Linked DNA regions of Nothobranchius furzeri. The protein of the gene in region 1 purifies or fractionates together with the protein of each later gene. This does not show direct contact. Links are inferred from orthologs where the notes say so. Each region holds a gene or a part of one and is shown in the gene's direction. Other genes may lie near its edges. The genes, in order: bag5, dnajb4 and lrrk2.

Region 1 (11,160 bases):
ACTGGGCTCCCCAGAAGCCTCTGTGTAGTTCATGCCCTCTCCAGTAGTGTTAGTTATACAGTGTTTATAAAAGCCCCTCAGACATTACTGACATGTTCTAATATTATCAGATGAAAAACTAAATTATCAGACATGATGTCTCATCTGCTGCTTTTCTAAACTTGCTAAAAGTAACAAAACCGTGTGAAAGCCACTATTAGTGGATTCTCTGAAAGTTTCCATGGAGTGTGGGACAACTTATTTTTTCATTGACCCTATCGTCTAATCTCACAGCTGAAACAAGCATCCTAATAATCTGTGCACAGGAAGCTTACCGATGCTGTAGTAAAACAAAAGGTATAGTAATTTATTATTAATAAAACCTTGTTGCAGCACTAAAGCAGAAAAATGAGATTTTGCATTAAATATGCAAAATATTTACATATGAATTGTTTTAGAGCCCTTTTATTGGCAGAATCTGATATTAATTTAGTTCTTACAAAAAATGGGTCCCAACATGGTTTGTGTGGCGTTGCCATAGTGTGACGTCATAGGCACAGATCCCCTGTCCTCTTGTTTGGAAATGGAAATATGATCACCCTACATTAAACAAACTGTCCACCCGGGCTTTTGCGCTGCACAGAGACGCTTCGCTGCCTACGACTGAACGTCAGTTGAGAGTCAGTCTCATGCAGACTGACCAATGAAGAGAGGGCCTCAAGTTAAGACCCTCTCCTCATTGGTCAGTCCACACGAGGTGGGTCAAAGGTTACTCTGAGCGGGTTACGTGTTGTCAGGCATTCAAGTATTGAGTATATTTACTGCATATTACAGTAAAATATTCTGTATGTGACCACATTATGGTGATCCTCGGGTCGTGATGATGGAGCCCTTGAATATTGTTGCCCAGGGTACAACAAAGTGTTAATCTGGCCCTGGTTCCGCCGTCACATTCCCGCAGAAACTGGTTGATCACACCGGGGCCAGACTACTAGCATGTGGCTTTACAACCACAATGTCCTCAGAAGCAAAAACGCTTTTAAAAGGGAGGGAGGAGTCCTAACTGTTGCTGCAGGCGTGTTGTGTGAGAGTGCAGTTATATACTGGTTAATATATTTTTGGGTTCAGTTGCTTTCATGTGGCCTAATGTGAGTCTATTTGGGATCATTGGCATGATCAGCAGCATTTCTTGATGTGACTTTATGGCAGTTGCCCAGGGCATCATCACAAGGAGAATGGCATTCATTTACTTTTGTTTTATTTGGTATTTTTTCAGTCATTTTTGGAAATAGTGATCAATTTTGATTAATTCACAGCCTATGTTTAATTACATTTAAAAATTAGTTGTTTGACATCCCCAGTTATAATAAATGTCAACAGATGAGATCAAACAAAACAGATGACAATTGCCCTTAAGCTGTTTAACTTGGACCAAGCATTTTAGGTCACAGATAGATGTAGCTTATAGGGTCTCTGTCTATACACCTTATAAGACAATTTAGGTGATGGCATGTTGTTTTTCTGCTATTGAACTGTTTTCTAATAATGTTGTGTTAAATAAAGTGAAGGAAGGAGAGAAATAACGTTTCCCTAGCAGTTTTTAAAAATTTCCCCATGTAATCCGATTAATCGATTAATCATGTCGAGACCCCATCCGATTAATCGATTATCCAAATAATCGTTTGTTGCAGCCCTACTTGTGAGTGAGGAGTGATTCTCTGGAGGTCAATCACCATTTCCTTTGTCCTACTGGTGTTCATGCGAAGGTGGTTACGCTCACACCAGTCCACAAAGTTCATGATGACTGACCTGCACTCCTGGTCATTCCCCTCAGACACACAGCCAACAATGGCCGAGTCATCAGAGAACTTCTGGAGGTGACAGCTGCTGGTGTTGTAGGTGAAGACCGACTTGTAGGAGGGGAATAGAAAGGGAGAGAGCACTGAACCCTGAGGAGCTCCAATACTGCACACAACCACCTCAGATGTACAGTTGTGCAGCATCACATACCATGGGCTGTTGGTGCGGTAGTTGATGATTCATGCAGTCAGATGTTTGTACACTCCTGCACCCCTCATCTTCTGCTGCAGTAGACAGATGGATGGTGTTCAATGAATTGAGAAGTCAAAGAACACGATTCTCACACTGGTTGTTTTACATCTCGAGGCGAGTCAGAGCCTGGTGCTGCAGGTAGATGAATGCGTCCTCCACCCCCATGTTTGGTTTATATGCAAATTGCAGTGGGTCTATATCCAGGCTCACCACCGAGCGTAGATGGGTGAGGATGAGCCTCTTCATCATTGACACGTCCCCCCCCCCCCCCCCCCATTTTTCCAAAGTAAATTTCTGTCCCCTGCACTTTTGCATTCCGCTATATTAAACAGACACTAGTTAGCATTAGGACCAAGAGGAAAACAACCGCTTGTGTTGAAGCGTCCAGAAGCTCATCTATTGGCTCTGCTGACACTAAGTAACGTGTGATTGGCTGTTCCTGCCACCTGTGTACTTGACAGTTCTGCAGTCCCAACATTGCATACAGCCTCTAGGCTGTAGTTTTACACTTACTGTAAAAATCCTGACATCCCCCCCCCCCCCCCCCCCGGTTGTGTCCCCCCCACTTCTAGTGGGCGACGGTGGCACTGGAGTTAAGTGCTCGCCCCATAAGCGGAAGGTTGCAGGTTCGAGCCCCACTGTCTGTCGCTGTGTCCTTGGGCAAGACACTTAACCCACCTTGCCTGCTGGTGGTGGTCGGAGGGACCAGTGGCGCCTGTGCTCAGCAGCCTCGATTCTGTCAGTGCGCCCCAGGGCAGCTGTGGCTACATCGTAGCTCATCACCATCAGTGTGTGAATGTGTGTGTGAATGGGTGAATGACTGATTGTGTTGTAAAGCACCTTGGGGGGTTCCAGGACTCTAGAAAGTGCTATATCAAATACAGGTCATTTACCATTTACCATTAGTCCTCATCAGTTGTGGGGCCAAGGCGACTGGTCTGGTTGTCGGGGATTAAAGCATCATTATGAATCTGAAGCGGGTCAAAGTCTGAGTCAAACTATTTATTTTGGTTTTTGCACCAAAAAACACCCTTAAAATTAAACAAATAAAACATTTTTATTTATGAGAAAGCAGCTGTCTAACTCATGCATTCCTGTTATAGTGCACATAAACAAATGAGACCTTCATGAATTTATAAATGTTATTGTGCTCACATCTGCTCAAGCACTCTAAGCAGCAGGAGCCCTGCACGCTTCTGTGTTTTAAATGACAAAAGCATTCAGAACCTTACGTGATGTCCCTGAAACTTCTCTGTACATTTCTTAAATAGTCACTCATAAATACCTCAAACTTTGTAGTTGCAGGTCTAGACAGCAGCTAAAATTAATGAAACTGAACAGGATGATGCGGTCAGGTGTTCGGAGAGCTTTTGTTCTTCCTGTGGTGCCTCTCGGTAAAAGTCCTCCACATGCTGGTGACAGCGACTCGGGCCATGAGCACCGTGATGCTGAAGTTACGTCGGTACCACTCCCTGGATTGGGGAGGAGACAGCAAATAATAAATACGATGAAGCTTGATGATGCTGTGGAGGTTTTTCCTGGGCTTTAACTAATAAAGCCTGAACACAAACAACACTGACAATAAACGTCCAAAGTGTCCGGCTCACGCAGCAGCTCGTTATGAGAAAAGCTCCACAGAGGTGTGCGTGGGGGGGGGGGGGAACGACACCCGACGCAAAAACAACTCACCTGTTATAATTTGCATGTCGGAGCTTGTTTTGGTCCAAAAAGCTTTTGTAAAACAGAGCCATCTCTTCGCTGTTCAGGGACCGCCGTCTTCCTGAGCGGAGCAAACCGACACAAAGTGGATTTCATTCAGCATTTTCACAGTCCTGACTCCATTTTCAGTTTCATTTCGTTGTTGTGTAAAAAACACCAGAACATATGTATGAGAAGCCTCACCGTCTTCGTCACGCAGAGTCAAACCTTTGGCCTTCAGATGCGAAATGATGAAAGCTTCTTTTTCCTGCAGAGACTATATCAATCAGTTGTGTTTTTGGAAAAGTCTGTCTATTCAAATGAATCCAAAGGCAAGTTTATAACGCGGTCGCACTGATATTACATCTTTGCCTAATCAAATTCAAGCACGTTCGGGCTTAGATTTAGGATTGTGCAGCCAGATTTGATTTACATACATGCTCAAAACAGTTCTTTGTCTCATCAAGGAAATAAGACTGTTCGACGTCTGCTATAATTTCAAGCACCTGTAAAAATCCTGCAAGCTGGAAGCACAAGTCATGTTACACTTCCCTAATATGAACACGTGACCTCGTACGGCAGGTGACCGTAGCCTCCTAAGGACACTGTACCATACCTGATACCATCGACTCATTTCACTCCAAAGAAAACTTTCCAAAGGATTTTCTCCATTGAGCTTTGCTGCCACCTGCTGGTGACAACAAAGAATTGTAAGCAGCATTTTAACCTTGCTAAAGCTGATGTTCTGCTTGGTCCAAAACTCATGGTTCCAGTCTTCCGTCTCCTGCCTCAGCATCCTCAGCCGCTTCTCCAGATCGGATTCCTTCTCGGGGATGTGGTACACGATGGGACGCAGATTGGACAGAGGGTTCGGTGGACCGATCCAGTCATGTGTGGAGCTGGGCTTGGGCCTGAAGGTGGACCGCTGCATTTCAAAAACAAAATACAAAACTGTGAAGGTAAATTAATGTCAGTCTGGGACCAACACGGTAATTAGACGTGTTCCAGCCAAGCTGCTGCAGCTAGCCACTAGGAGGCTATTTAGGGTGTCTGTTTCTGTCTCCTACCATGAAAAAGTAGGGTGGTGTGGAAACTGTCTACTAATCCTGAGACAAGTAAAGGCTTAAACACATTTATCTGTGCTTTAACTGTTGAAGAGCTGGTCCTGTCCACAGATGAACGTCACAGAGCTGAACTGAGTCAACGCCACACGACAGCGAGCTTATCAGAACCAAACAGGCATCACGATGAAAGCAGCAAGGAGAAAAACACGATCCCAGACCCAGAGACCAACGCAACGGTACGGAAAAAACAGATAATTGTCAGAAATATTCTAGACATTTTAAATACTGTGAATACTATGATGCTCTGGGACATTACTTAGGAAAAAATAGAATAGTAAAAAGGACACAAAAACAGAAATGTGCATCTGGGTATGGTACTGAATGTACTGATGTTAGCATACAGGTCGTTCTCAAAAAATTAGCATATTGTGATGAAGTTCATTATTGTCAGTAATGTACTGATAAACATTAGACTTCCATATATTTTAGATTCATCACACACAACGGAAGTAGTTCAAGCCTTTTATTGTTTCTAATATTGATGATTTTGGCGTACAGCTCATGAAAACCCAAAATTCATATCTCAAAAAATTTGCATATTTCATCCGACCAATAAAAGAAAAGTGTTTTTAATACAAAAAAGTCAACCTTGAAATAATTATGTTCAGTTATGCACTTAATACTTGGTCGGGAATCCCAATGCGGCGTGGCATGGAGGCAATCAGCCTGTGGCACTGCTGAGGTGTTATGGAGGCCCAAGATGCTTCGATAGCGGTCTTAAGCTCATCCAGAGTGTTGGGTCTTGCGTCTCTCAACTTTCTCTTCACAATATCCCACAGGTTCTCTACGGGGTTCAGGTCAGGAGAGTTGGCAGGCCAATTGAGCACAGTAACACCATGGTCAGTAAACCATTTACCAGTGGTTTTGGCACTGTGAGCAGGTGCCAGGTCGTGCTGAAAAATGAAATCTTCATCTCCATAAAGCTTTTCAGCAGATGGAAGCATGAAGTGCTCCAAAATCTCCTGATAGCTATTTGCATTGACCCTGCCCTTGATAAAACACAGTGGACCAACACCAGCAGCTGACATGGCACCCCAGACCATCACTGACTGTGGGTACTTGACACTGGACTTCAGACATTTTGGCATTTCCCTCTGCCCAGTTTTCCTCCAGACTCTGGCACCTTGAGTTCTGAATGACACGCAAAATTTGCTTTCATTCGACAAAAGTACTTTGGACCACTGAGCAACAGTCCAGTGCTGCTTCTCTGTAGCCCAGGTCAGGCGCTTCTGCCGCTGTTTCTGGTTCAGAAGTGGCTTGACCTGGGGAATGCGGCACCTGTAGCCCATTTCCTGCACACGCCTGTACACGGTGGCTACGGACGTTTCTACTCCAGACTCAGTCCACTGCTTCCGCAGGTCCCCCAAGGTCTGGAATCGGTCCTTCTCCACAATCATCCTCAGGGTCCGGTCACCTCTTCTCGTTGTGCAGCGTTTTCTGTCACACTTTTTCCTTCCCACAGACTTCCCACTGAGGTGCCTTGATACAGTACTCTGGGAACAGCCTCTTCGTTCTGAAATTTCTTTCTGTGTCATACCCTCTTGCTTGAGGGTGTCAATGATGGCCTTCTGGACAGGAGTCAGGTCGGCAGTCTTACCCATGATTGTGGTTTTGAGTAATGAAGCAGGCTGGGAGTTTTTAAAAGCCTCAGGAATCTTTTGCAGGTGTTTAGAGTTAATTAGTTGATTCAGATGATTAGGTTAATAGCTCGTTTAGAGAACCTTTTCATGATATGCTAATTTTTTGAGATAGGAATTTTGGGTTTTCATGAGCTGTATGCCAAGATCATCAATATTATAGACAATAAAAGGCTTGAACTACTTCAGTTGTGTGTAATGAATCTAATATATATGAAAGTCTAATGTTTATCAGTACATTACTGACAATAATGAACTTTATCACAATATGCAAATTTTTTGACAAATGTTTGCATGTAAATAAATTCTCTCAAAATTTAGATACACGGCTTTTGAATATCGATACAACCATTGCAGGAAAAAATACCACGATATATTGCCATATCGATATTTTCTTACATCCCTAATCGAAATTCTGAATCATTAGATTTGACTGACAGGTACCATGAGCGTCAGAGCCCGTCAGTCAAATCTAATGATTCAGAATTACAATCCCTGGAACTAAAGATGGCTGATTGTCGGATCGGGGCCATATTCACTGAGATCAAAAGCTATTTCAGTTAAAACCATCCTAATAGGTGTGGTTACATTTTAACACAGGGCCTCTCGTTTGATAGTTGCATTACGATTCTTGCATCCATTGAGTTTTTGGAGAGTTTCTGCTTAAGTTTCTTTGCAGGAAGTCAGAATCACCTCCCAGACCTCCTACTTGGATGAGATCTGCCTCTGCAGTCCACAAAGGTTAGAGGATGTTGCAAAAGCTTCCTATAGGGTTGTGGTCATGGGTTAGAGTTAAGGTTATTCTCTCCTTTTTCTGCCCACACTTTGGTTTTTGTGAAATATCGAAGGTTTTCATACCTTACCCAAGGCATTCAACTGTTTCATGCTTTTCAGAGGCAGAGATAGTTTTTCTTGCCAAGCTGGTTGAAAATGGAAAATCCTTTTCAGTAGTTTCTCCTTAATTGGGCTCACCTGGTACATCTCATCAGGTGTCTGAGACCAGAGACACCATCTAGAGTTTAAGTAAAAGCAAAAAGTCTGTCTCCTAAATAAAATGTGCCTGTAGTGTGGAACACGTTGTGTTGAGGTTCTGGGGGAGTTCTGGTCCATTCCGCTGTTCCGGTTCATTGAGGTTTTCAGACATGTGTTCCTGCTGAGTTCTCTTAAAGGGACTTTACAGAGTTTTGAATTTTTATGCTCGTGATTGCCCCCTCAGGCCAAAAGCGTAACGGCAGCTTCAATAGTAGGCTTGTGCACGAGGCGCGCATGCTGTACGTGCACGCTCCTTAACGAAAATACCGTGTGTGTGTGTGTGCGTGCGTTTGTGTGGCCCGGAGGACAGAGTGCAGCTAATTAATTAAATATTTTGTTTCTGTACCTTTCTCTTCAGCACAGCCGACAAAGGTTAATGATGGGTCAGTCCTCCTGCATGCTCAGATCATTCCCTTCCCTTGCTTGAAAAATTGTTCCAAAATGAAAGTTGAACCCACATCTTTTTTATCTGTGAATTCAATGCTGTTCGATGAGTCTCAAATAAAAATGTGGGCATCTTACTGTAAAAAAATATATCATTAATGTAAAAAATAAACTCTAAATGAACTATGTTCACACCCGGAATCAAACCCGGGTCTTCTGCACGAGAGTCAGACATCTTACTAGGTGAACTAAAGCGCCAGTGACTTCCTCAGTATCTGTAACATTTATATCCTTGATGACAGCTAAAACAACGTTCAAAGAACGGTTCGGAGTGAAAATGGCTATTTTGTTGCTAATTTGCAGAAAATATCTAGAAAAAAGTTCTACAGAAAGTAGCTAAGGGTCCTCAGAAATGTAGCTAGGTTCATCACTAGGCGTTAGGAACAGCGACAAAATGGCACTGCCTCTCTCTCTGCTGCTAAAGCTACGGATAGCAAATGCTACGGGCTATGCCTGAGCGTGAACGCGCATGAAGCAGCCTGCTCGACCCGAGCATCTCTCTTTTTCAGTGACTTTACAGAAAAACAGGCAATCACAGTAAAAATGCCAGGGCTCATTCTACAGGACCAGGGCATTGCAGGAGAATGTATGAAGAAGACATTTATTATTTCTATACATGTTTTGGCTGTCAGACTTCCATAATGCCCCTTTAAGGTCCCATCTGAGAATTTTAATCAGGTTCGGGTCTGGACATTATTTCATCACTACAGTTTAGTAGATCTGCTGCTGTCTTTGGATCGTGGTTCTGTTTAGCTTGGTCCAAACCTCACCTGTCAGACCGATGGACTCATGTCTTGAGTCTGGAAGACTTAGGTGACTTTGGAGACTTCATGATGGAGCCAGAACCATCAGCCTCCACATCCATACTGAGAGCTAGTATGAGCTGTGTGGCTTTCTCTCGTCATACTGAGGTGAATTATGGGTAAGCGTCTACACCGATTTTATGTGTCCACACATCAGTGATCCAGAGGTCTTCTGGTTCATTCGGATAAAACTCCTCAAACCTAAGTCAAGCTGTCATGTAGGACAGAAAAGACCATGTCCCACAACCAGTCCAAACAGGAAATGTTTGTGAAGTCATTTCTGGTTTTCTGTCAGGTACTTTAACCTTTAAACTGCTAACTGATGCCCCTGGACTCTGAGATGGAGCTCTTGGAAGTTTATCTGAGCCTTCCCTGATGACCTTCTGATGAACTTCCCAGGATGTCAACTCCTGTCAATAAGTTGGAATAATCTATCTTTCTGGAGAATGGCCGACTCAAAATCGCCTGGAAATGACCTTTAACCCCTCCCAGTGTTTCCCAAGTGCTGCAGATGCATGTTAATCACTCGTCAGTCAGGTGTGTGTGTGGCAGCAGGGAAACAGGTGTTTGACTGGGCCTGAGGGCCACGGGTCTCATATATCAAACATTGCGTAGAATCCTTACTAAAATCGTACTTAAGCTCAGCAAAAAAAGTACTTATACCAAGCAGGTTTGTGATCTATCAAACATGGAGTACACACAGCTGCACGCAATCTCCGCTTCATAAATCGGAGACTAACGAGAATGTTTCTCAGCTGCTCTTTAGTCACATCCCGCTCTCACCACGCCCACTTACTGCCATAAATAGTCAATGCAAAGTGCCTTGTGGATCTCATGCATATACATAAGCCGGCTTGTTGCAGCGCTCCGCAAATGACATGGTGACCGTAGATCAAGGCAGATCAAGGAGGCGCTATTTCACAGAAGCAGAAGTTGAGGTACCTGTGGGTGAAGTGGAGAAATGAAAGGAAGTGCTTTTGCAAAACAATTAAAAGAAAATCCACAGAGTGGCACAGCGTTGCTGAAGCCGTCAATGTTGTGTTCTTCAGAGAGATCTGTGGCGGATATAAAAAATGGTCCAATCGGGATTCGATCCCCAGAATCCTGGGTGAAAGTCATGCGCGCTAATCAGTCAGCCAAAAAGAGATCTCCCCTGTCCAAGTAGCCAGGGCGCATGATCAATCAGGTCACAGTGACAGGACACACACACTGTCACAGACGCATGACATTCTGTCTCAATCTGTCCCCCTGCTGATATTCTGCATTCCGTATTCTGCGCTTCAGGCTGTGTGTGTGTGGGTGTGTGGGTGGGTGGGTGGGGGGGGGGGGGGGGGTCTTGTTCTGTGTGAAAATGAAGCAGTACAAGTGATAATGCTGCTGAAATTCATAATTGTATCCTTCTCAGCAGCAGCACTGCAGGTGCTCTCCATGTCCAAAATGTGCGTAAGCCAAGTCCTTGCTCAGTTGCGCACATTTTTCCGCTAAGTTTTCTTTCATAAATCCCAGAGTTTGCGTGGAAAGTTGCTTACGCAGTTTTCCGACCCCGTTTAGTGCATAAGTAAGCTTCATAAATGAGGCCCCCGGGCAGGGGAACACTGCGCTGATGTGTTTCCTTCTATGTTCTAAACCAGAAAGTAAAAACTACTGTTTAAATATAAGTGGTCATAAACATCTGGCTGATGATTGTATGGGAACAGACGGAGGTCTGTTTCCATGGAAACGGATCGTGTCAGATTGGTGTTATTTTGAGTATAAAATTATGTGTTCAGATACGGTTTGATAATCTGATTTTCCAACTTAAATCTCATAACTATGAGAGCGTTATTAAGGTTATGAACAACAGACGTATGTAAAACAGACCTGCGTTGGTTTGTCTCGTGACGGTGTTGGATCAGAGCTGCAGAACCGACGGCTGACTGGTAAAGGTCGGTATGAACGCAGACCAACATGTACCGACCGTCCCGCAGCTGCTCCAATTGACATTTTATCCACCAAAACCTTCACAATCCCAACAGAACCGACCAAACCGAGGCTCTCGAGAACCCAAACACGACGATCACGATGCCGTTTCAATCTCCGTCACGGAAAGGAGGAAAGGTGCGCTGGAATACTTCAGCGGCATACCCGATTATTGTGTAGGCGGCACAGACTGCTATCACCGCCCTTCCTGCTCCGTGCGTACCGCGTGACTAAACGAAGTGCTCTAAATGTTGGCCAACAATAACGTATACGCTGTTAAAAATACTAACCTCGTTCATAAAAAAACACACGCATTGTTTTAATTAATTGACATTCAGTTGAATTTAATTTTATTCCAAAAAGTTTTTTTAGTGTATCATTCTGTAACACGACAAAACGGAGGTAAATGCTGCTAACGAAGGCGTGTTGAGA
Region 2 (10,040 bases), on another chromosome or scaffold:
TCCCTGCTCTCCCAGTTTCCGGCAACACCAGTTCAATCAGCTCCTGTCCCAGCGGTGGTCCCGGAGGTCGCACCGCATCCAGTTCCAGCGGTGGTCCCGGAGGTCGCACCGCATCCTGTTGCAGCGGTGGTTCCGGTGGGTGCACCACATCCAGTTCCCGTGGTAGTCCCGGAGGTTTTACCGCATCTTGTTCCAGCGGTGGTCCCGGAGGTCGCACCGCATCCGGTCCAGCCTGTCCAAGTGGTCTCGTCTGTAGCAACTCCTCCTCCACTCCAGAAGCCGACGCCCCTGGACCAGAAATCGACGGTCAAGAAGCCGACGGTCCAGAGGCTGACGGTCCAGCAGCCGACGCTCCCGGACCAGAAGTCGACGCCCCCGGACCAGAAGTCGATGGTCCAGAAATCGACGACCCCGGACCAGAAGTCGACGCCTCCGGACCAGAAGTCGATGGAGGTCGACGGCCTTTTCAGTCCTGAAGTCGATGCTCTTTCCAGTCCAGAGGTCGACGCTCTTTTCAGTCCAGAGGTCGAAGCTCTTTTCAGTCCAGAGGTCGATGCTCTTTTCAGTCCAGAGGTCGATGCTCTTTCCAGTCCAGAGGTCGACGCTCTTTCCAGTCCAGAGGTCGACGCTCTTTCCAGTCCAGAGGTCGACGCTCTTTCCTGTCCAGAGGTCGACACTCCTTCGTGTCCAGAGGTCGACGCTCCTTCGTGTCCAGAGGTCGACGCTCCTTCGTGTCCAGAGGTCGACGTTCCTTCGTGTCCAGAGGTCGACGCTCCTTCGTGTCCAGAGGTCGACGCTCCTTCGTGTCCAGAGGTCAACGCTCCTTCGTGTCTAGAGGTCGACGCTCCCTCGTGTCCAGAGGTCGACGCTCCCTCGTGTCCAGAGGTCGGTGTCCCCTCCAGTCCAGAGGTCGACGTCCCCTCCAGTCCAGAGGTCGACATCCCCTCCAGTCCAGAGGTCGACGTCCCCTCCAGTCCAACGTCTCCGCCGTCTCCAGTCCAGTGGTCGACGCCGTCTCCAGTCCCGTGGTTGACGCCGCCGTCTCCAGTCCCGTGGTCGACGCCGCCGCCTCCAACCCAGAGGTCGACGCCGCTGCCTCCAGCCCAGGGGCCGACGCCGACGCCTCCAGCGCAGAGGCCGACGACGACGCCCCCAGCCCTGAGGTCGTCGCCGCCGCCCCCAGCCCTGAGGTCGTCGCTGCCGCCTCCAGGCCAGAAGTCAAAGACGTGTCCTCCGGCGTCTCTGCCTCCAGTCACCGCCAGTCCTGCCCTCACCAGGCGCGGGCCCCCAAGAGCCCGTTGTTGCCTCCTCCTCTGCCACAGACGCAGGCCCCCAAGAGCCCGTCGTCGCCTCCTCCTCTGCCACAGACGCAGGCCTCCAAGAGCCCGTCGTCGCCTCCTCTGCCACAGACGCAGGCCCCCAGTGCCCGTTGTCGCCGCCTCCTCTGCCACAGGCGCAGGTCCCCAAGAGCCCGTCGTTGCCGCCTCCTCTGCCCCAGGCGCAGGCCCCCAAGAGCCTGTCGTCGCCTCCTCTGCCCCAGGCGCAGGCCCCCGGACTCTACTGGTCCCTGCCTCCTCTCCATCGGTCCCTCTCGGCCCTCCCTCCGGGTCCCCCTCCTCCCGCCCTGCTCTATGTTCCTGTGGGTGTCTGGAATCCGCCCTTTTTGGGGGGGTGGGGGGTGGGGGGGTACTGTCACACCCTGTCCTGTCTCCCCATTCTGTTCAGTCCTGTGTCCATGTTAACTGCTCCCACCTGCCTCTCGTCTCCCAATCACCCAAGGTCCCAGCTCCTCCTGTATTTAAACCCTGTTAGTCCATTTTGTCTGGTTGGTTCATTGTTTCATTGTCCTGCGTGTCTCATTAAAACCCTTTAAATGTTCCTGTCTGCCTGCCTGCCTCCTTCCTCACCCGCGTGTGGATCCTCACCTCCATTTCACTCACCGGCACGCTTGTGACATTTTGCCTTTAGTGAACTTTGGTTTGACGTCAGTATTTGCATTCCAGGAACGTTTGATTTCCAAATTAAGCACTGCACGTCACACATAAATTTCACAGTAATATTGAGTATTTGGTTATTGAAAAAGTTGCTTGAGATATTTTCAGAGCCGTCCATTTTTTTCTAATTCACCGTTAGCTTTGTTAGCTTAACGTTAGCCACTAGAGATTCTAGAGCAGGGCTATTCAATTCTGGGCCTCAAGGGTGAATATCCAGCATGTTTTAGTGGTTTCACTAGTCCAACACACACTAGATTAAGTGGTGTGTAGCAGTAGCCTAGCGAACTAGACCAAATTCTTGCTTTACATTTATTTATTCTGGCTTGCCAGGCTAGTGTAGCAGCTCATCAGGCTCTGCAGAAGCCTGTTAGTCACCTGCTGATTGAAATCAGGTGTGTTGAAGCAGAGTTAAAACCAAAACGTGGTGTATTAGAGTAAAACAAAAGAATGCCGTGGCTTCTTAGGGGTACAAGAAAAAACTTCTGGGTCACCCAGGTTTACTGGCTTTTCTTCTTTAAACAGTTCTGAAGCACATTGCCGGACTGTGTCAAATTACAAATGCCGGCGTTGCAGAGTTAAATCAGTGGAGACTTGGCAACCTCACAAACTCACTGACTGTAAACAGTAACTACATCCCGCTTTCTTTCTTTTTTTGAAAAGAGAAAAACTGACAACCCCTCAGCCAGCTGAGAACAAAATCTGTTTCTGTATAACCTTCCTTTGAACATGATTGAGACATTAGACTCTTTTGTGATTTCACTGTGGAATTCTTACGTTTGGCTATGGGAAATAGTCAAGAAATCTTTATTTTCTTTATGATCTCTTCCAAGTGACTATTTGATCAAATTTGTAATAAAGATTATATTTTTCTTTTCCAGCTGGTATAAATGATGTTTGAAGGCCATCTATGATGTTCTGCTGATCTCAAACCTTTGATGATTAAAACCTTCATCAAACAGTTTGAAATGCCCAAAATCACCCAGAGAAAACCAAAATGATGACATTTCAGAGTGAAGTTATTTAAAGCTCTGCTTGGAACTAGCTGTTCTGTTCAACACTGCTCTCCCAAAGCTCCAAATGGAGACTTTGCCACCCATCCAGTGTCATCCCACAGTCTCTCTGCAAGTTTCTCACAAAATAAGCCGGTGACAGCTTTGATGCTTGATGCATTTATACTTGTGTCCTTTACCAGGCTCGGTTTGCTGGGATTCAGCTGTGTCTACTTAATGCAATTTAAAATGAGTAATTTGCTTTAATTTAAAATAAATTATGTTTTTAAACACAGATTTAGTTATTTTTTCCCCAAAACCCGCTATGGTAGTGTCTTCTGCATGTTATCAGGAGTGTAACAAGCTGTCTTCACCACAGGACACCATTAAATCTAGCGTATGTAGTCCTAATTTCATTGCTGTTTGGTGAGACAGGTTCTAGTGAAGCTTTTCCTTTTGGTATCCTGCACCGGTCCCTGTCTTGTCCTTCAACAAGGGATTTGAGAACCATTTGAATTTCCAGCTGGCCCCCCAGTCTCCATACCTCTCATAAATGAGAGACCATTAGTCAGGAGACGAAAACGAAGGCTGAGCCTCATGATTAGAACTGAGACCGGGTCTTTGTGCTCCTCTTTTGTGTGAAAATGTCTAGACATGCTTTGTGATTGAGTGAAAAACAATATATTTATTTTCAACAAGTTTTCTTTTGAGGAAAAAAAAATAGTCTGCAAAATGCCTCAAAGATTGTGATAATAGGTAAAAATATAAAGCTCTAGTTTATGACAACAAAATAACCTCAAACAAAATAACCTTTAATTAGCAGTAACAGCAACAATCTTTATTTTTATCATCAAAAACACATATATATATATTTTCAAACATAATTTTTGGACTTGGGTAAAATGAATTCTGTCCAAAGATTTGACTTGTGTGCAAAATTAGGAAATAATACTTCGGGAAGACTAAATTGTGTAATATTTATGTTTAAAAGCCAATTTTCAAGTTATAAACTAGATTAAAGGTGCAATATGTAAAAAAAACACAGTAAAATAATCATAAACACTATTGTCTAACTCATTTTGGAAGGAAGGTTACACAAACAGATTTCCTTCTCAGTCAGTTGGGGAATTGTCAGTTTTTCTCCTATTGAAAAAGCAAAAAGGGACGTAGTTTTTGTTTACAATCTGTGAGCCTATGGAGTTGCAGAGTCTACCCCGGCAAACGCTGCAGCGCAGGCATTCATAGTTTAATACCAGCAGCAGCGTTTTGTAAAGATCCTAAGCCAGTAAAAAGAAGCAGCCCAGAAGTTATTTCTTGTACCCCTAAAGCCGGGCGTACACTGTGCGACTTTTTCACTTTTTTGAGCCGATTTTCCAGTCGTGCGAGAAGCCACGACATCGGGGCGAGTTTTGCGCCGAGCGGTCGTGTAGTGTACAGGGGGTTACGAGAGGCGATTAACACCACGTGACCAGCCGCCGATCAGCAGTCGTGAGGTCACAGGGACTTCTGGTGTGTTTAATATTTCGCTCGTCCCTCGTGAGGGTATCGCACTGTTGAAGCGGCGCTGCGAGCAGCTGCGAGCAGCTACGATCCAAAAAGTATCAGAACCGCTCACGGCGCATGCGCGCGCAATCCTGCATCAACGCCGGCCGGTCGCTCGCTATTTCCCTAATAACTCACGCTGTTCGTTTTTGTTTCTACACGTTTTTTTTACTCACAAAGATTGTCAAGAAAGCGTGTTTGTCATGTTCATGTCAAATTAAACTGATCACAAAACACAGATTCACTTTCTTTATTTCGTTTTCCTCATCCAACCCCCATAAATCCCTGTGTGTCCTCCTGCAGCACTCCCGAAGGACAACAGGCAAGACAAAAAAGTCTGACGTGTTGAGTAAAAACTGCTATTCTTAGCACATTTTTAGGGCCGACGTGTTGCTACCAGACGTACAGTGTGAGCAGTCAGGTCGCATGCGAGAACTGGGTCGTACAGTTTGAGCACACGACTCGTGAGATCTGCCCTGCGAGGAAGTCGTACAGTTTGAGCTGAAGCTGAACGCTGCGAGTGAAAAAGTCGCACAGTGTACGCCCGGCTTTAGAAGCCACAGCATCCTTTTGTTTTATTCTAATATTGGTTGAAGAAGGCTAGAAGCTAAAGTTAAGCTAATGTTGAGCTAACAAGTTAACGCGACTTTGAAGCAAACAGTCTGCTCTAAAAATAAGCTCAAAGTACTTTTATAATTACTAGCAATTTGAAATTATCTACTGTGTATGACTCGTCGTCTAGAATCTTCTGGTGCTTCTCCATAACTGGCAACATTCATTGAACTCGCACAACGGTAGTGAGATTCATGTGTTTCACATAACACACCTTTAAATATTAAATCTATTCAAATTTAATGGAGTATTAGTAGTAGTATCCTAAAAGTTTGTCTTTTGACCTGAAGGTGCATTAATGTTGTGGTGATTGTTGATGTAGTTACTGACGAGTCTTTTCTGTTGTCCATCAGGTCTTAAGGGGGGAAATGGACCTGCTCCAGATGGACAGGGCCCTACCTTCACCTACACCTTCCACGGAGATCCTCATGCCACCTTTGCCACCTTCTTCGGGGGCTCCAACCCCTTCGAGATGTTCTTCGGGCGTAAAGCGAATGGCAGAGACGACGATGACATGGAGGTGGATGGAAATGACCCCTTTGGCTCCTTTAGTAATTTCAACATGAACGGCTTTCCACGAGAAGGCCACACCGGCCTCGGGGGTCAGCAGCGCCGGAAGCAGGACCCGCCCATCATCCATGATCTGAGGGTCACCCTGGAGGAGGTCTTCCAGGGCTGCACTAAGAAGTTGAAAATCTCTCGCAAAAGGCTGAACCCCGACGGCAGGACCATGCGAACGGAGGATAAGATCCTCACTATTGAGATCAAACGAGGCTGGAAGGAGGGAACCAAGATCACGTTCCCGCGGGAGGGGGACGAGTCGCCCAACGCCATTCCTGCTGACATCGTTTTTGTCATTAAGGACAAACCCCACCCCCACTTTAGGAGAGAAGGCTCTAACATCGTGTATCCTGTTCGTGTTAGTTTGAGACAGGTGAGAGAGCTCCTATTTTAGCCTTTTAACTGATTGTTGTTCTATTAATAGAAGATGACGGAATGATTAGTCAGTTTTAGAACAAGTTCACAACCAGATGAGGGTGCTGCTTTCAGATCTGGTGCTCCAACGCAGTGAAACCTGGTCACGATCAATAAGCTGTTGGTGGTCTGCCCGAAAAGCACAGAAAACACACAGTGATGCTGAATGAGCATCGTTCTGAACTACACACACATTTCAGCTGTTCCCTTATGTAATCTGGACCATCAGAAACAGGATCGCCCACATGCACACGTTGTAAGAAGTGCTTATGTGGTCCCTCCCACCCTCATCAGCTCTCTGTTCTAAATCCCACCGTCTCATTTCCTAATATTAGACCTTTTATGTTCCAGCAGTAGCAGATCAGCTGTGCAGGTGCATGATTCACTCAGCCTATTTTTGTCGTTTTAGTTCTAAATATACATTTACAGTTCTCTTTAAATGAGGAGTATGGGGTTAAAACTGAAATAATGAAATAATTTGACATATTCTGATCATTTCTGCAGCAAAAAGGTAAATGAAATAATTTCCTTAGAGTGATAATGTGTAGTTTTTGCCATTAATCTCTGGAAATATCCATCGAAATGTTGTTGAAAATGAATTAAAATGATGCCCAGTTGTTGGCAGCTATACCAAAAAAATCTGGTCTAAAATACATGGGAGCGGGTCTAAGTCTCTGGGCGACGCCATATTAGACGCCATGTTTCCTTCTACGGCGCCCGTGAGAACAAAACTCATTTATTGATTTGTAACATAACATTTACGAAACTTTGGCCATTCATAAAAGTTGTTGTTTTACACATTTACCTCTTCCCTCGTTGCCAGTGATGAAAGGGAGTGATGTGATGTCATTTTGCTGAAGGTTGCGCTCCCAGGGATTTTTGACCCTAATGGGTATCCATTGGTAAGGTCTTTACACAAAAATACCTCTCCTTGCAATGATTTAGGTATGCACTGCCCCCTATCGCCAGGGAAAATTCACACTGTCACTGTTAAAGCCCAAATCCAACATCTTTGAACTTGTATATTTTCGTAATATCAACATTTGGGCATTTATGTCTATAAATTCTGTTTAGAAGGTGGATTTGAATGAATCACTTGCCAGTGACAAGTTTTCTACAAATCAGAGCGTCTGCTAATCAAACAACAACAAAAATCATCACTTCTGAGATGCCAGATCTGAAATCGGTACAGTTTTTGTTCCAGCTTGGTGTAAATCTTTATCGTTTTTTACAATTGCAGCTAATTTGAAGGATTTTTGTAAGGAAGTAAAAGCTTCACAAATAAATAAATAAACAAACAAATAAATAAACAAACAAACAAATAAACAAATAAATAAAATGTTGCTGCGAGAAGTCTTCTGTAGAAGTCAAACTAAATCACGCAAGAATACTTCTTGCTTTTTTCGTCTTCTTGTTAACCTGAGTGTTCATTTTGGATTCACAGCTTTGGAAGTGTCACTCACTGAACTAAAACAGGTTTTGCATGTGGAATCAAAAGGAAATATGAAAGGAAAGATGCTGATTTAGATGTTGTGGGTCTCAGTCTCCCGCTAGTTCTCACTAACACCTTCATTCTCATCTCTGCAGTCTTTGTGCGGATGCTCGGTCACCGTGTCGTCGATAGACGGGAAGACCTCCAACATGAAAATCACAGATGTCATCAAGCCTGGCATGAGGAGAATTGTAGCTGGACAAGGTCTCCCCCTCCCCAAGAACCCAGAGCAGAGAGGAGACCTGGTGGTGGAGTTTGACGTGAACTTTCCTGAAACGTTGCCTGGCAACGCTAAGGATGTGCTGAAACGGCACTTGCCTACATAGGACAAAAGGACAAGGACCGACCTAGAGGGGAGCACGGCGTGACGACCCCCCCCCCCCCCCCCCATCCATTAGGAACACTTTAACTCAAGGATGGTTCTGACATTTCCCAACTGATGAATGTGCAATTTCTATTTTTGAGCTGTTTGTATTTGCATGCTGCCAAACTGGTAATAGGTGCAAGTGAAAGACTGCTTGTGCTTGGACTGCTATGTGAAACTGACTTTTCCAGTCAAAGTTTTCTTTTGGTTAAATGCAATCTTTTTGGCTGTGAAAGGATTTGCCAAATAAATTTTCAGCGACAAACTGTTGATCTCTGAAGCAACGGTTTCTAAACTGTCATTTATGACTATTTTAGTTAGTTTTGAATCAGAGGCTCTCTTACTGTTTGTGGGCAGAGGAACTAAGGAAAGTTAAAGTGTATTTTGGACAATTACCCGTTGACACTTGAATTTTAAAATGCATGTTTTCCTATGAAGTCATCTGAAAAATAACTCAGACATTCAAAGAATCCTTCGTCATGAAGTAAACCAGTGTATAAAACACGATTGTTTAAGGAGAATGCTCATTTGCTTAGAAATATTTGTAGTCTGTGTAGCAACACTGCAAAAAAAAAAAAAGGTTCTTTATAGCCCAGGAAACTGAATCTATATTTTAAAAGTCTGATGTGAATATTTAGTTGTTGTAAATTACAGTATATAGTTACATTTTTGATGTATAGAAATTAATAATAATAAAACAAAATACTGTAAGTGAGTTTGATTTTAAGTCACTGGTTGTGAAGATATGAGTGGAAATGTATACAAGCACCTTTCCCACCAGGGGGCGCTACTTTACCCAATCATAAATGTAATATAGGCATGTGTGTGTATTATCTATCTACATACATACATATATGTGTATATGTTTATGTATGTATGTATGTGTGTATATATATATATATATATATATATATATATATATATATATATATATATATATATATATATATGTGTGTGTATGTATGTATGTATTATCCTTGTGTGATGAAGGTGTGTGTAACTGCTGAGTCACAACCATGCAGTGCAGGTGGAGTGTAAACACACCTGCTCAGTGAGGGAGGTTTTCAGCTGGTAATCCTCTAACAGTTACTGCCACCAACCAAACAGATTTAAAATGACAAAATAATATTCAGAAACCCAATAGTCATTTTTATCCACATATTCCTGTGTTGCAGGGGTTAATTTATATTTTAAAACATCTGTATTCTAATCCCATAATCAGTAATTGTCTGACCCTAAAATAACCTGCATGATCCGCATTACAATGGTTAATTTATACATTTGATTTAACCAGTTTACATGTCCACATGGCTAAAAAATAAAACACACCACATTTTGGAGGAATTATAAATTTAGATGTAGACAGTTAACATGTAAATAATAACAATATTAACACTAACAATTCAGACTATTATCCTCATCACCCCAATAAACTATCAATATTTGATTAATAGTTTCTAAAGATGCAGAAGCTTCAGCAACACAAGATGCAGAAGCTTCAGCAACACATTTTTATACTGACCAGTAAACAGAACAATGCACTGGTGTCTTCACCATAACATTGTTAAAATATGATCAACAGATTCTCTTGGTTTCATTTTTAAATATCTTTACTTTTATAAGCACCCAGCTATTTGTGATCTGGTTTAAAGCCTATATAAGTTTCCAGTTTATTTACTAGGGCAATATTTTCCTCAGAAACTAACAAGAAATAGGATAAATAAGATTTAATGTGTTTTATGTTATAGAAATAATTGTTAGATTTATTAATAGTTGCAATTTGTCTGTTATCTGAATATATTTAATAAATCCCACAGGATTTTTACAACTTTACCCTGTAGATGGTATAAACAATAGGCCCTTGTAATGCTTTGAACAACCTTAGTTTAGTGAAGCAGAGATTAGTTCCGAAAAGAATGACATGCTAACGGCTAGGCTGAGTGTGGCCATTTACAACATGTTTTTACTATAGTAAAACAACTTTTGGTTATTTTTATTATTCTTTTTGTCAAAACGTTAATGCAAAAGCTATTTCATTACCTTTATACCATCTTAAATTTGACATTACAATG
Region 3 (11,160 bases), on another chromosome or scaffold:
CTGCGGCAACAGGTTGGTAATAAGAATATTGTGGCATTAACAGAGGGGTGCCGGCGGTCAGGGCTAGGGGGCCCCCCAACAGAAGGGGGCCCCAGGCGGCCGCCTACCTATGCCTATGGTAAAACCGCCTCTGCCCTTATGAAAGAGTCCTAAGTTGAGAGGTAAATATTAGAAGTGCAGGTAATGCATGGTGCCGGTCCACTTAACGCACGGTTGTGGACTACATATTGATGAAAAACAAATGAAAATTAAATTGTGAGTTTTCACTTTATGCTTTAGAAATAAAAATGACGGGGGAAAACTTTTTAAACTAACTTTTCTAGCGTGACCTGCCTGCTTCTTCACTTAAGTCACTGCTTATCAAGGCCCGTCCAAAATGGCCGTGGCCCACCCAAAAATGAAAACCTGGCGCTGCACCTGTTATAAACCTCTGGAAATTGTTGTTCTTCACTTCATCAAACTCAGACTTTGTACAGCTAATGTCAAGATGCAAAACTAAGAATTCGGTCGAGCCCCCCGATCCTGCAGACGTCTGTTACGTTCTGCACGCGGCCATGTTTGCAAAAGGATCGCCGCAGCAGGGTCTGGGGGCGGAACCCACCATAAATCATAACCTAAGCGCAAGTTTATCCCACATTTATTAGGATCTCTGACAAGAGCTCAGTATCGATGTTAAATCCGCAAACATGTGAGCCCCCCACCCCCACCCATTTTTTTATTTCTATAAAAAAGTTAAAAATATCAAATCTTTGTCATATTTGACTAATTTTATTCTTCTATAATCCACTGAACAATTAAACTAACATTTCTGATTCTATGTAGGCCGTCTGCCCAACTCCAGTCACTGTCATTGTTTTTCCAAAAACAGGAAGTAAACTAAAGTTGCTTGGACTTCTAACAACTAACATTTAGTGTCTCTGTACTAAATAAAGGATAACTTAAATCCGCCTACCTCAGAAATATAACAGTTGAAAAGTCTTGCAACAGAGCGTGTCTTCTTCACCAAACAGGAAGCCTCTTTAGGATCATGTGATCCTGCTGCCCAGCAAGTGAGGAACACACCCCTGTCGGGGCAGGTCCACCGTAATTTCTCTTGTAGTTGCGCCTGTAAAAATTGCAGGAGGGCTTCCTTGAAATGCAATTACCCTGACCGTGCGCCATCCCGCGGGAGAGGGTGCTCGCTGCAGACCTACAAAGGCGGAGCTGCACCATAAGGTGGAGCTGCACCAGAGTCAGCCCCGCCCATTCACGCAAACTCAGTCTAGCCCACTGACTTCCGTTTTTGTTTTTCCAACTTTATCGCAAACTAACCTGACCCACATGAATTACGGCTGTTACTAGTTTACAGTCGTTAATGCTATGTTCTATGCTTCAATTAAACAAGATAAATATAACTTGCTACATGACAAAGCCTGAATATATCTCGAAATGAAAAGGTTTCTTTTAACGAATATCTACCCACAGCCGCTCCAAGAAAAGTGTTGTACAACAGCATCTGTCATTTACGTACGTGCTCTGGTAGTCCAGTGGTGAGATCGTTTAACTTAAGTTTTGCTTTCCCCTCAGCTGGTGCTGGTTCGATTCTCGGTGAGGTCGGCAACAATCCATTTAGCCAGCTGAAACATTTTAATTTGTTTATATTTTAGTTGTAATGTTTATTTTCAGCAAAATATTTATGTCTCTAAAAGTTCTTTGAATTTGGTCGTTCCTAAACAGTATTTTAGTTGAAACTCTGCTCACAAATGGACTCACACTGGCTAAATAAACAAATAAATAAATAAACACATTAGTCATTATATGTTAAACGGTATACCAGTAAATTGTTGTAAACATAGTACTGGCAAGTGTAGCTAGAAATGAGGAAAAGGGGTTGTAAGCTACCTAATATTTCTGCTAGTGGGAGGCGAACCTGCGCAAAACTGCATGTCAACTTGACTCTATAACCACTACACCACCACATCTTAAAAAAAGCCTAGTGGCGTTATATTTAATTGTCCTATCCAGTGTGTCTTTGTAGATGGTATGTATGGTTTTTCCGGCGGTGTCTCAGAAGAAGTCATTTAAGAAATAATTTGTCAGAAAATTCACAGAATATCCAGATTTGAGAACCAAGACCAGACCCTCTTCGGGGGAGGAGACCAAATTGAAGCTGAGATGGGAAGAAATGCATGAATGAGGCCAAAAATGGCTTTGGCGTGTTTCTTATGAGGAAATGACAATATAACATGATTAAAAGTTCCAAAAGTTTGATTTTTAATTATATGGAACCTTTACAAAAACTGTTCAATTAACTTCTCAACTCCGTCCTCAATTTTTTAGCTATAACACCCTCTTTGGTTCCAGAATGCTATCAAGTCTGACAACTAGAAGGAATTGGACTGACTCTTATGGAATGGGCGGGGCTGATTCTGGAATGGGCGGGGCTGACTCTGGTGCAGCTCCACCTTCTGGTGCAGCTCCGCCTTTGTGGTTCTGCAGCGAGCACCATTTGGGTCCCGCGGTGGCTAATCCTTTTTTGGCAACCAGTCGATTTATGGCACAACGCCGGCAGTCAAATAAGGTCCTGGTCCAACACCTTGGTCTTGTTGGTTAACACACATCAGTGGCGCCCCCAAGAGGTGGCCATGGCCACTCCTGGAAAATTCCCATGGCTAAGGGATGACAGGTGCCAAAAGGACAACTTAATCTAGCACATAAATAAGTAAACAAACAAACAAACAAATCTGAACACAAACTGAATATAAGTCAAAAGTAGAACAAAATCAGAGAATAACACATGCAAAGCATCAATTCTATAAGGATAAAGTGAGTAGGCCCTTGTGTTAAAACTGTTAGCAATTAAAGTCCAGTAAAGGCATACTGAGCAACTTTTTCATATTTTAAATCCTTTTCTTGTACCAGTATGTGCTAAAATGACCCTTTACAGGATTAATGAAAAGTCACGACACCCTCCACCCCTTGTGAGCAGGACACCCCGTTTGCAGCTTCAGCCTACAGACTGCTGCTCTGAAGTCTCACAAAGTCGAATGTAAAGGGAAAAAAAGAATAAGAAAAGGCAATCACGGGATCCTGAGAAAGACAGAAATGGTAGAAACAGCAGCCTGAAGAGAAGCCAGTGAGGAAGAAGAGGATGAACAGAAGGTCACACCAAAAGCGGCACAAAAGGGAAAGGGTGGTGATGAAGGTCACCAAAGCCAGCCGGAACAGATGAGTTTTCAGCTGCTTTTTAACCCTCCAACTGTCTTTATGGGTGACCCTGCAAGAAAAGTTGACCATTGAGCAGGGTTGAAGGTTTATCCCTTGAGGTCCACGTGGCAGGGGTGAGGTGGTGCTCACTCCTCACCCCTGCCACATGGATCCAAGGGATAAACCATCAACCCTGCTCAATGGTCAACTTTCCTCGCGGGGTCACACCCATTAGGACAGTGGGAGGGTTAAAGGAGACCACTGAGTCCACTGATCTCAGGCTCAGGGGGAGAGAGGTCCACAGTCTGGGGGCCACAGCAGCAAATGATCTGTCACCTTTGGTCTTTAGCCTGGTGCTGCACAACCAGTAGGCTTTGATCACTGGACCTCAGGGACCTGCTGGGGGTGTAGGGACTAAGAAGATCACCAATGTAAGATGGTGCTTGTCCATGTAAGGCCCTATAGACCAGAACCAGGATCTTGAAATGAACCCAGAAGTTGACTGGCAGCCAGTGAAGCTGGAGGAGAAGTGGGGTGATGTGGGTGTGTTTGGAGGACTTGGTCAGAAGCCAAGCACAGGCGTTCTGAACCAACTGTAGACGGTTCAGACACGTGAAAAGGGAGTTGCAGTGGGCTAAGTGTGAGGAGATGAATGGTGGATAACAGTCTCAAGTTCAGAATGTGATTCAGCTTAGCAAAGTTCTGAGATGTCTGGTTTTCGTCCAGGTCACAGTACAGAAACTGCACTTGTAAAAATCACCAATGAACTTCTTCCTGCAGCTGATCCTGGTTTACTCTCCATCCTCCTTGATTTGAGCTCAGCCTTCAATACCATCTCACATTCTATTCTTCTATATAGGCTCGCATGCATTGGTATTTCCCATAACTTACTAAACTTTTTCCACTCTTATCTTTCTGACCATTTTCTGTTCATGGAACTCAATCCCTTCAGATCTGCCCCCTCCCCAGTTACTAGAGGCGTGCCCCAGGGCTCTGTCCTGGGGCCCATTATGTCCATTATTTACCTTCCTTTGCTAGGTCACACATTCCAGAAATTTAACATTCAGTTCCACTGCTTTGTGGACACCCTACTTCTCACCTTCAGAGCTGTTCACAATTGAAGGTGCTGAAAACACGATCGAGCGCACAGCGGGGAGATAAGTTTCAGTTTAGCTTTTACGACAATGAATTAAAAAGGACTCTTGGGGGTGCTAAAAGCAAATAAAAACTGCATAGTTTCCCTTGAATGGTTCTGAAAGAGTAACAGTTTCAGTATGAACATCATCCTCAACATCCACCTAATACATTGTTTATGTATTTTGATTATTAAAAGTTTCTTTTTTGTATATAAAACCTAAACATGTAGTTACTCATGATTGAACAAGTCAGAAAATGAATGAAAATCTGGAAGTTTCCTCATTCTAATTCTAGCCTATATGTTAATATGAAATCTGAGTATCCTAAATAATTTGGATTAGTTAGGGGAAATTGTCTTTTTATTGTGGGATTATGACAAAATTGTGGAACACTTCTTTGGATTTTACTACATTTATTGGTATAGCGTTTAGCTAATTCTGTTATTTATGCTGATATATTTATTTGGTTTAATTTTCACTGTTTTACATCCGAAAATAATTCCTTGATTGATTGATTGATTGATCAACTAATTTGATGTCTTTGGACACTGATTTTTGTTATTGTTTTACGCATTTATTACTTAAAATAAACAAAAACGTCTCTGTTTTTACAGTTTTCATCAGTTCATTTATTGATTGGTTTTTATTTATTTATTTTTAGATGTCGTCCTTACGTAACTTTTGGGCATTCCATTATGCCATTTAAATACCGTAACAATGGGCATAAATGTGCAACACAAAATCAAAAGACGGCAGATATTTTTTCAGTGATTTAATAATTGTAACTAAACTTATGTAACATGTAATAGGATGTTACAAGTATATTTACAAATGCTATCCAAGGAAAAATAATGGAATTTCCTGCACAAACATACGATGGGAGATCTTATTAAGGCGTTACGGCGCAAATCAGTGCTGCTTTAGTGGGGCTCTCTCTCTCTCCTAGGTTTATGCAGAAGGTTTACACATCACTCAGAAACGTTACAGTCTCCAGCAGGAACCATACACGCTTGTGTCGCTGCGTCTCCCGTTTCCCCCCTCCTTCATGTCCGGGAAGTTGTTTTAACTCGAGTCATATGATTTGATCTCAGCGAAGCAGAAACACGCCTGCTAACAGAAACAGTGGTCCTTCCCACAGGAAAGAAACAGAAAAACTACGACTCGACGAAGAGGAGCAGACTTTTTTAAGCTGTTAGCTGAAGGGAAGTTAAGCCAAGATGGTGCAGCGTGGGGACCGACACTCACCAACGACAGCCTCGCCTGTAGCGGCTGTGCCATGCTGCTAATGCGTAATATTGGTGCCATTAACAAACAGAAGCACCGCGGGAAGCTGTCGGGTCTGATGAGGGCTGTGCGCTTTTGACGCACGCACGTCAGCCAGCTGGAAATCTTCACCATGGAGAACAAGGAGGAGTTGGAGGAGAAGCTGAAGAAACTTTTGGTGCGACTGAAAAATCCCAAAGAGGACAGCCAGCTGAGCAATCTGATCCAAATCCTCCAGGATCTGCTTTCCCTGGCGCACAGCGCGCACGGTAGGAAGTTCATTGTTTCTGCACCAGGCTGCTGGCAACCCACAGGACTAAGGGCCGTGCTGCAGCACTGATGGACTCCTGTGCCCTCTCCTTAACATGGGCCCTTTTGTGTACAGCACATGAAACACGTTTCACTCCCTTTAGCATCAAATCCTGCACAAGTTAGTTATTTGTGTGTTTAAATGTACCAGCTCTAAAAGGTGTGAAGGAATGCTGCCAAAGATCTAACTAAAACGCCACACTTTGGTGGATAACCATAATCAATGGAAATGTTAAGCCTGCTCCCAGTTGCTCATCTTGGTCGCCATGGTAACCACACATCAGTGAGTCTCTCCTTGAAGGCGAACATGAGGAGAGTCAGAAAGAATATTTTCTAACCGCGAGAAAGTATTCTTAAACTGTGAGTAGCAGAAGTTTACAGTTTGATGTTTTTGCATTGTATTGCTAGTTTGACTAGCTCTAGTTTTTGAGCTAAAGTAAAAACTGGTTTATGGACGCTTGGGTATGCTAGTGCTCTCTGAGAGGATTTGAGATAAAACTGTAAGTCCTACATCAGAATGGGACTCGGAGACAGACGTGTCTGTTTCATGTCATTTGTTTTTGTGCTTGTTTGCAAAAGACATAAAAGCTTTAGGCTGTTGGAGACTTTGTTTGGCATCATGAACAGTTTATTGTTTCATTGAAGAAACTCCAAAGTCATTAAGCAAATGTGGTGAAATTGTGTTTCTACTGTGACATCTACCTGAGCTGTGGAGCTCCAAAGGGGCGGGGCTTGTCTCCGGTCTCACCAAAATCCCACAAGCAAAAGTCTCAAAGGTTTCAAATTTAGTTTGCATCCGACAGTCAAAGCGAGCTATTCTCAGCTGACTTGTGTTCATTTGCATGTCTTTTTAAAGCTGTGGTGTTTAAAAAAGGACTAAAGTCCCGATAGCGTCAAGAACAGGACTAACTCTGGTCTCAGCACCTTTAATACAGAAAAGCAGCAGAAAGCAATGCTCTTAAAGGTAGTTTTACCTCTCTGTTCAATAAATCAGCTTTATTTATTAGAGTCAGTTCTTATTGAATAGTTTCTAATCAGAGTGTGTGGTTAGATTCATTTATTCATTCAAAATATACTCATAGATGTCTATGATTGCAATAAACCTTTCTTACGTGTCCTATTCACGTGTTCTATTCACGTGTTCTTACATGTTCTTACGTGTTCTATTCACGTGTTCTATTTACATTTTCTTTTCACTTGTTCTTACGTGTTCTATTCACGTGATCTTATGTGATCTATTCACGTGTTCTATTCATGTGTTCTTACGTGTTCTTACATGTTCTTACGTGTTCTATTCACATGTTCTTATGTGTTATATTCACGTGTTCTATTCACGTGTTGTTACGTGTTCTGTTCCCGTGTTCTATTCACGTGTTCCTATGTGTTCTATTCATGTGTTCTTACGTGTTCTATTCACGTGTTCTTACGTGTTCTATTCCCGTGTTCTTATGTGTTCTATTCACGTGTTCTTACGTGTTCTATTCACGTGTTCTTACTTGTTCTATTCACATATTCTTATGTGTTCTATTCACGTGTTCTATTCACGTGTTCTTACGTGTTCTATTCACGTGTTCTTACATGTTCTTACGTGTTCTATTCACGTGTTCTTACGTGTTCTATTCACGTGTTCTATTCACGTGTTCTTACATGTTCTTACGTGTTCTATTCACGTGTTCTTACATTTTCTTACATGTTCTTACGTGTTCTATTCACGTGTTCTTACATGTTCTATTCACTTGTTCTATTCATGTGTTCTTACGTGTTCTATTCACATATTCTTATGTGTTCTATTCACATGTTCTATTCACGTGTTCTTACATGTTCTATTCACGTGTTCTTACATGTTCTTACGTGTTCTATTCACGTGTTCTATTTACATTTTCTTTTCACTTGTTCTTACGTGTTCTATTCACGTGATCTTATGTGATCTATTCACGTGTTCTATTCATGTGTTCTTACGTGTTCTTACATGTTCTTACGTGTTCTATTCACATGTTCTTATGTGTTATATTCACCTGTTCTATTCACGTGTTGTTACGTGTTCTGTTCCCGTGTTCTATTCACGTGTTCCTATGTGTTCTATTCATGTGTTCTTACGTGTTCTATTCACGTGTTCTTACGTGTTCTATTCCCGTGTTCTTATGTGTTCTATTCCCGTGTTCTTACGTGTTCTATTCACGTGTTCTTACTTGTTCTATTCACATATTCTTATGTGTTCTATTCACGTGTTCTATTCACGTGTTCTTACGTGTTCTATTCACGTGTTCTTACATGTTCTTACGTGTTCTATTCACGTGTTCTTACGTGTTCTATTCACGTGTTCTATTCACGTGTTCTTACATGTTCTTACGTGTTCTATTCACGTGTTCTTACGTTTTCTTACATGTTCTTACGTGTTCTATTCACGTGTTCTTACATGTTCTATTCACTTGTTCTATTCATGTGTTCTTATGTGTTCTATTCACATATTCTTATGTGTTCTATTCACATGTTCTATTCACGTGTTCTTACGTGTTCTATTCACGTGTTCTTACATGTTCTTACGTGTTCTATTCACGTGTTCTTACGTGTTCTATTCACGTGTTCTATTCATGTGTTCTTACATGTTCTTACGTGTTCTATTCACGTGTTCTATGCACGTGTTCTTACATTTTCTTACATGTTCTTACGTGTTCTATTCACGTGTTCTTACATGTTCTATTCACTTGTTCTATTCATGTGTTCTTACGTGTTCTATTCACGTGTTCTTACGTGTTCTATTCATCTATTCACGTGTTCTTACGTGTTCTATTCACGTGTTCTATTCATGTGTTCTTATGTGTTCTATTCACGTGTTCTATTCACGTGTTCTTATGTGTTCTATTCACGTGTTCTTACGTGTTCTATTCACGTGTTCTATTCACGTGTTCTATTCCCGTGTTCTATTCACGTGTTCTTACGTGTTCTATTCACATGTTCTTACGTGTTCTATTCACGTGTTCTATTCCCGTGTTCTATTCAGGTGTTCTTACGTGTTCTATTCACGTGTTCTTACGTGTTCTACTCACGTGTTCTATTCACGTGTTCTTACGTGTTCTATTCACGTGTTCTTACGTGTTCTATTCACGTGTTCTTACGTGTTCTATTCACGTGTTCTTACGTGTTCTATTCACATGTTCTATTCACGTGTTCTTATGTGTTCTATTCACGTGTCCTATTCCCATGTTCTATTCACGTGTTCTTACGTGTTCTATTCACGTGTTCTTACATGTTCTTACGTGTTCTATTCATGTGTTCTTACGTGTTCTATTCACATGTTCTATTCACGTGTTCTTACATGTTCTTACGTGTTCTATTCACGTGTTCTATTCACGTGTTCTTACGTTTTCTTACATGTTCTTACATGTTCTATTCACGTGTTCTTACATGGTCTATTCACTTGTTCTATTCATGTGTTCTTACGTGTTCTATTCACGTGTTCTTACGTGTTCTATTTATCTATTCACTTGTTCTTACGTGTTCTATTCACGTTTTCTATTCATGTGTTCTTATGTGTTCTATTCACGTGTTCTTACGTGTTCTATTCACGTGTTCTTACGTGTTCTATTCACGTGTTCTATTCCCGTGTTCTATTCACGTGTTCTTACGTGTTCTATTTACGTGTTCTTACGTGTTCTATTCACGTGTTCTATTCACGTGTTCTATTCACGTGTTCTTACGTGTTCTATTCACGTGTTCTATTCCCGTGTTCTATTCACGTGTTCTTACGTGTTCTATTCACATGTTCTTACGTGTTCTACTCACGTGTTCTATTCACGTGTTCTTACGTGTTCTATTCACGTGTTCTTATGTGTTCTATTCACGTGTTCTTACGTGTTCCATTCACCTGTTCTTACGTGTTCTATTCACATGTTATATTCACGTGTTCTTATGTGTTCTATTCACATGTTCTTACATGTTCTATTCACGTGTTCTTACGTTTTCTATTCACATGTTATATTCACGTGTTCTTATGTGTTCTATTCACGTGTTCTATTCCCGTGTTCTATTCACGTGTACTTACGTGTTCCATTCACGTGTTCTTACATGTTCTATTCACGTGTTCTTACGTGTTCTATTCACGTGTTCTATTCACGTGTTCTATTCCCGTGTTCTATTTACGTGTTCTTACGTGTTCTATTCACGTGTTCTTACATGTTCTATTCACGTGTTCTTTTCATGAGTTCTATTCACGTGTTCTTAGGTGTTCTATTCACGTGTGTTTTCATGGCCATTTAAAACAAAAATAGGTGCTCCGGTTTATCACATGTTGTCTCTTTTGCTGATCTTTGTTGCAGCAGCTGAGCTGTTTGAGGACAAGAACGTTCACCTTCCCCTCGTGACGGTGCTGTCATCTTACATCAGCAGCAAAGGAGTCCAGCAGGTAATCTGCCCCCCCCCCCCCTTACAGGAGGAGGTTGTTCGTGCTTAATGTGGTTAAAAAGTAACCGCCAGTGGCCCGTCCACCCGATCCACCGTGTTTATGACGTCTTGTGACTGTAATGCGTTCTGGCTTATGAGAAGTTTACAGCATGTTAAAACTGAAAGCCACATTATGGGATGGAATATGTGTTCAGACAGGAATGACTGCTCTCAACATGCCTCTAGAATGTGTTTCATCTGATTCTGCTCTCATTACGTGTCAGTTTGATTGTTATTGTTCAAATCAAACGTGAGGTTTTTGTTTGGACAGGAGGGCTGGTTGCTGCTGTGTAAGCTGATTGAAATATGTCCCAGAACGCTGGAGCATCTCAGCCAACCTCTGGAGGCAGCCGTGGACTGGGAGATCCTGGCAGTGCACCAGTAAGTGAAGACTGGTTGGTCTGGTGGTGTCACCTGCATGTTCACAAGTCAGAGACTCTGGTAACATGGAGGTCCTCCTGGTCCCACCACAGACTGACCTGGACTCTGTTATCCAGTTCAGACCAGCTTAGTTCACCCCTGATTTAATAAACAACAGCAGCAGATTGAACCCAACTTCCCTCCAACCCAACCCAACATCTTGAGCAAGCACGTGGCGAAAGTTCAAGACTGGACCTTCAGCGCAACCAGAACCAGGATGAGTGGCCTTTTGCCTCCATGTTTTAGAATCTGCCTCTGAGAGGGGATCCAATTTTAGAAACATTAGCTGAAAATCTTAAAGGGGACATTTAATTATGTTTTTTTATGAAGTTATAATAATTTGAGGTGGCTCGGGCATCTGGTCAGGAGGCCTCCTTGACTTTGGTGAGGTTTTCTGGGCACGTCT

Evidence for each region.
Region 2: the proteins of bag5 (region 1) and dnajb4 purify together in Homo sapiens (affinity purification with mass spectrometry; 4 studies listed by BioGRID and IntAct, with this or other methods). This does not show direct contact. The link is inferred for Nothobranchius furzeri from reciprocal best matches to the Homo sapiens genes BAG5 and DNAJB4.
Region 3: the proteins of bag5 (region 1) and lrrk2 purify together in Homo sapiens (co-immunoprecipitation; 3 studies listed by BioGRID and IntAct, with this or other methods). This does not show direct contact. The link is inferred for Nothobranchius furzeri from reciprocal best matches to the Homo sapiens genes BAG5 and LRRK2.

Annotation. Positions count from the first base shown.
Region 1 is NC_091758.1:10,651,436-10,662,595, forward strand, and holds the start of bag5 (BAG family molecular chaperone regulator 5), read left to right. Parts: upstream 1-4,654; 5' UTR 4,655-4,688; intron 4,689-4,886; 5' UTR 4,887-4,976; coding exon 4,977-5,029; intron 5,030-7,095; exon of another isoform or gene 7,096-7,231; intron 7,232-10,629; coding exon of another isoform or gene 10,630-10,752; exon of another isoform or gene 10,753-10,918; intron 10,919-11,132; exon of another isoform or gene 11,133-11,160. Other genes in the region: coa8 (cytochrome c oxidase assembly factor 8), read right to left, coding at 3,383-3,503, 3,721-3,811, 3,934-3,997, 4,457-4,654, 10,630-10,752. UniProt on the Homo sapiens protein: Co-chaperone for HSP/HSP70 proteins. It functions as a nucleotide-exchange factor promoting the release of ADP from HSP70, thereby activating HSP70-mediated protein refolding.
Region 2 is NC_091751.1:41,966,388-41,976,427, forward strand, and holds the end of dnajb4 (dnaJ homolog subfamily B member 4), read left to right. Parts: intron 1-5,490; coding exon 5,491-6,071; intron 6,072-7,699; coding exon 7,700-7,930; 3' UTR 7,931-8,001; downstream 8,002-10,040. UniProt on the Homo sapiens protein: Probable chaperone. Stimulates ATP hydrolysis and the folding of unfolded proteins mediated by HSPA1A/B (in vitro).
Region 3 is NC_091744.1:48,417,414-48,428,573, forward strand, and holds the start of lrrk2 (leucine-rich repeat serine/threonine-protein kinase 2), read left to right. Parts: upstream 1-5,280; 5' UTR 5,281-5,718; coding exon 5,719-5,854; intron 5,855-10,210; coding exon 10,211-10,296; intron 10,297-10,605; coding exon 10,606-10,715; intron 10,716-11,160. UniProt on the Homo sapiens protein: Serine/threonine-protein kinase which phosphorylates a broad range of proteins involved in multiple processes such as neuronal plasticity, innate immunity, autophagy, and vesicle trafficking.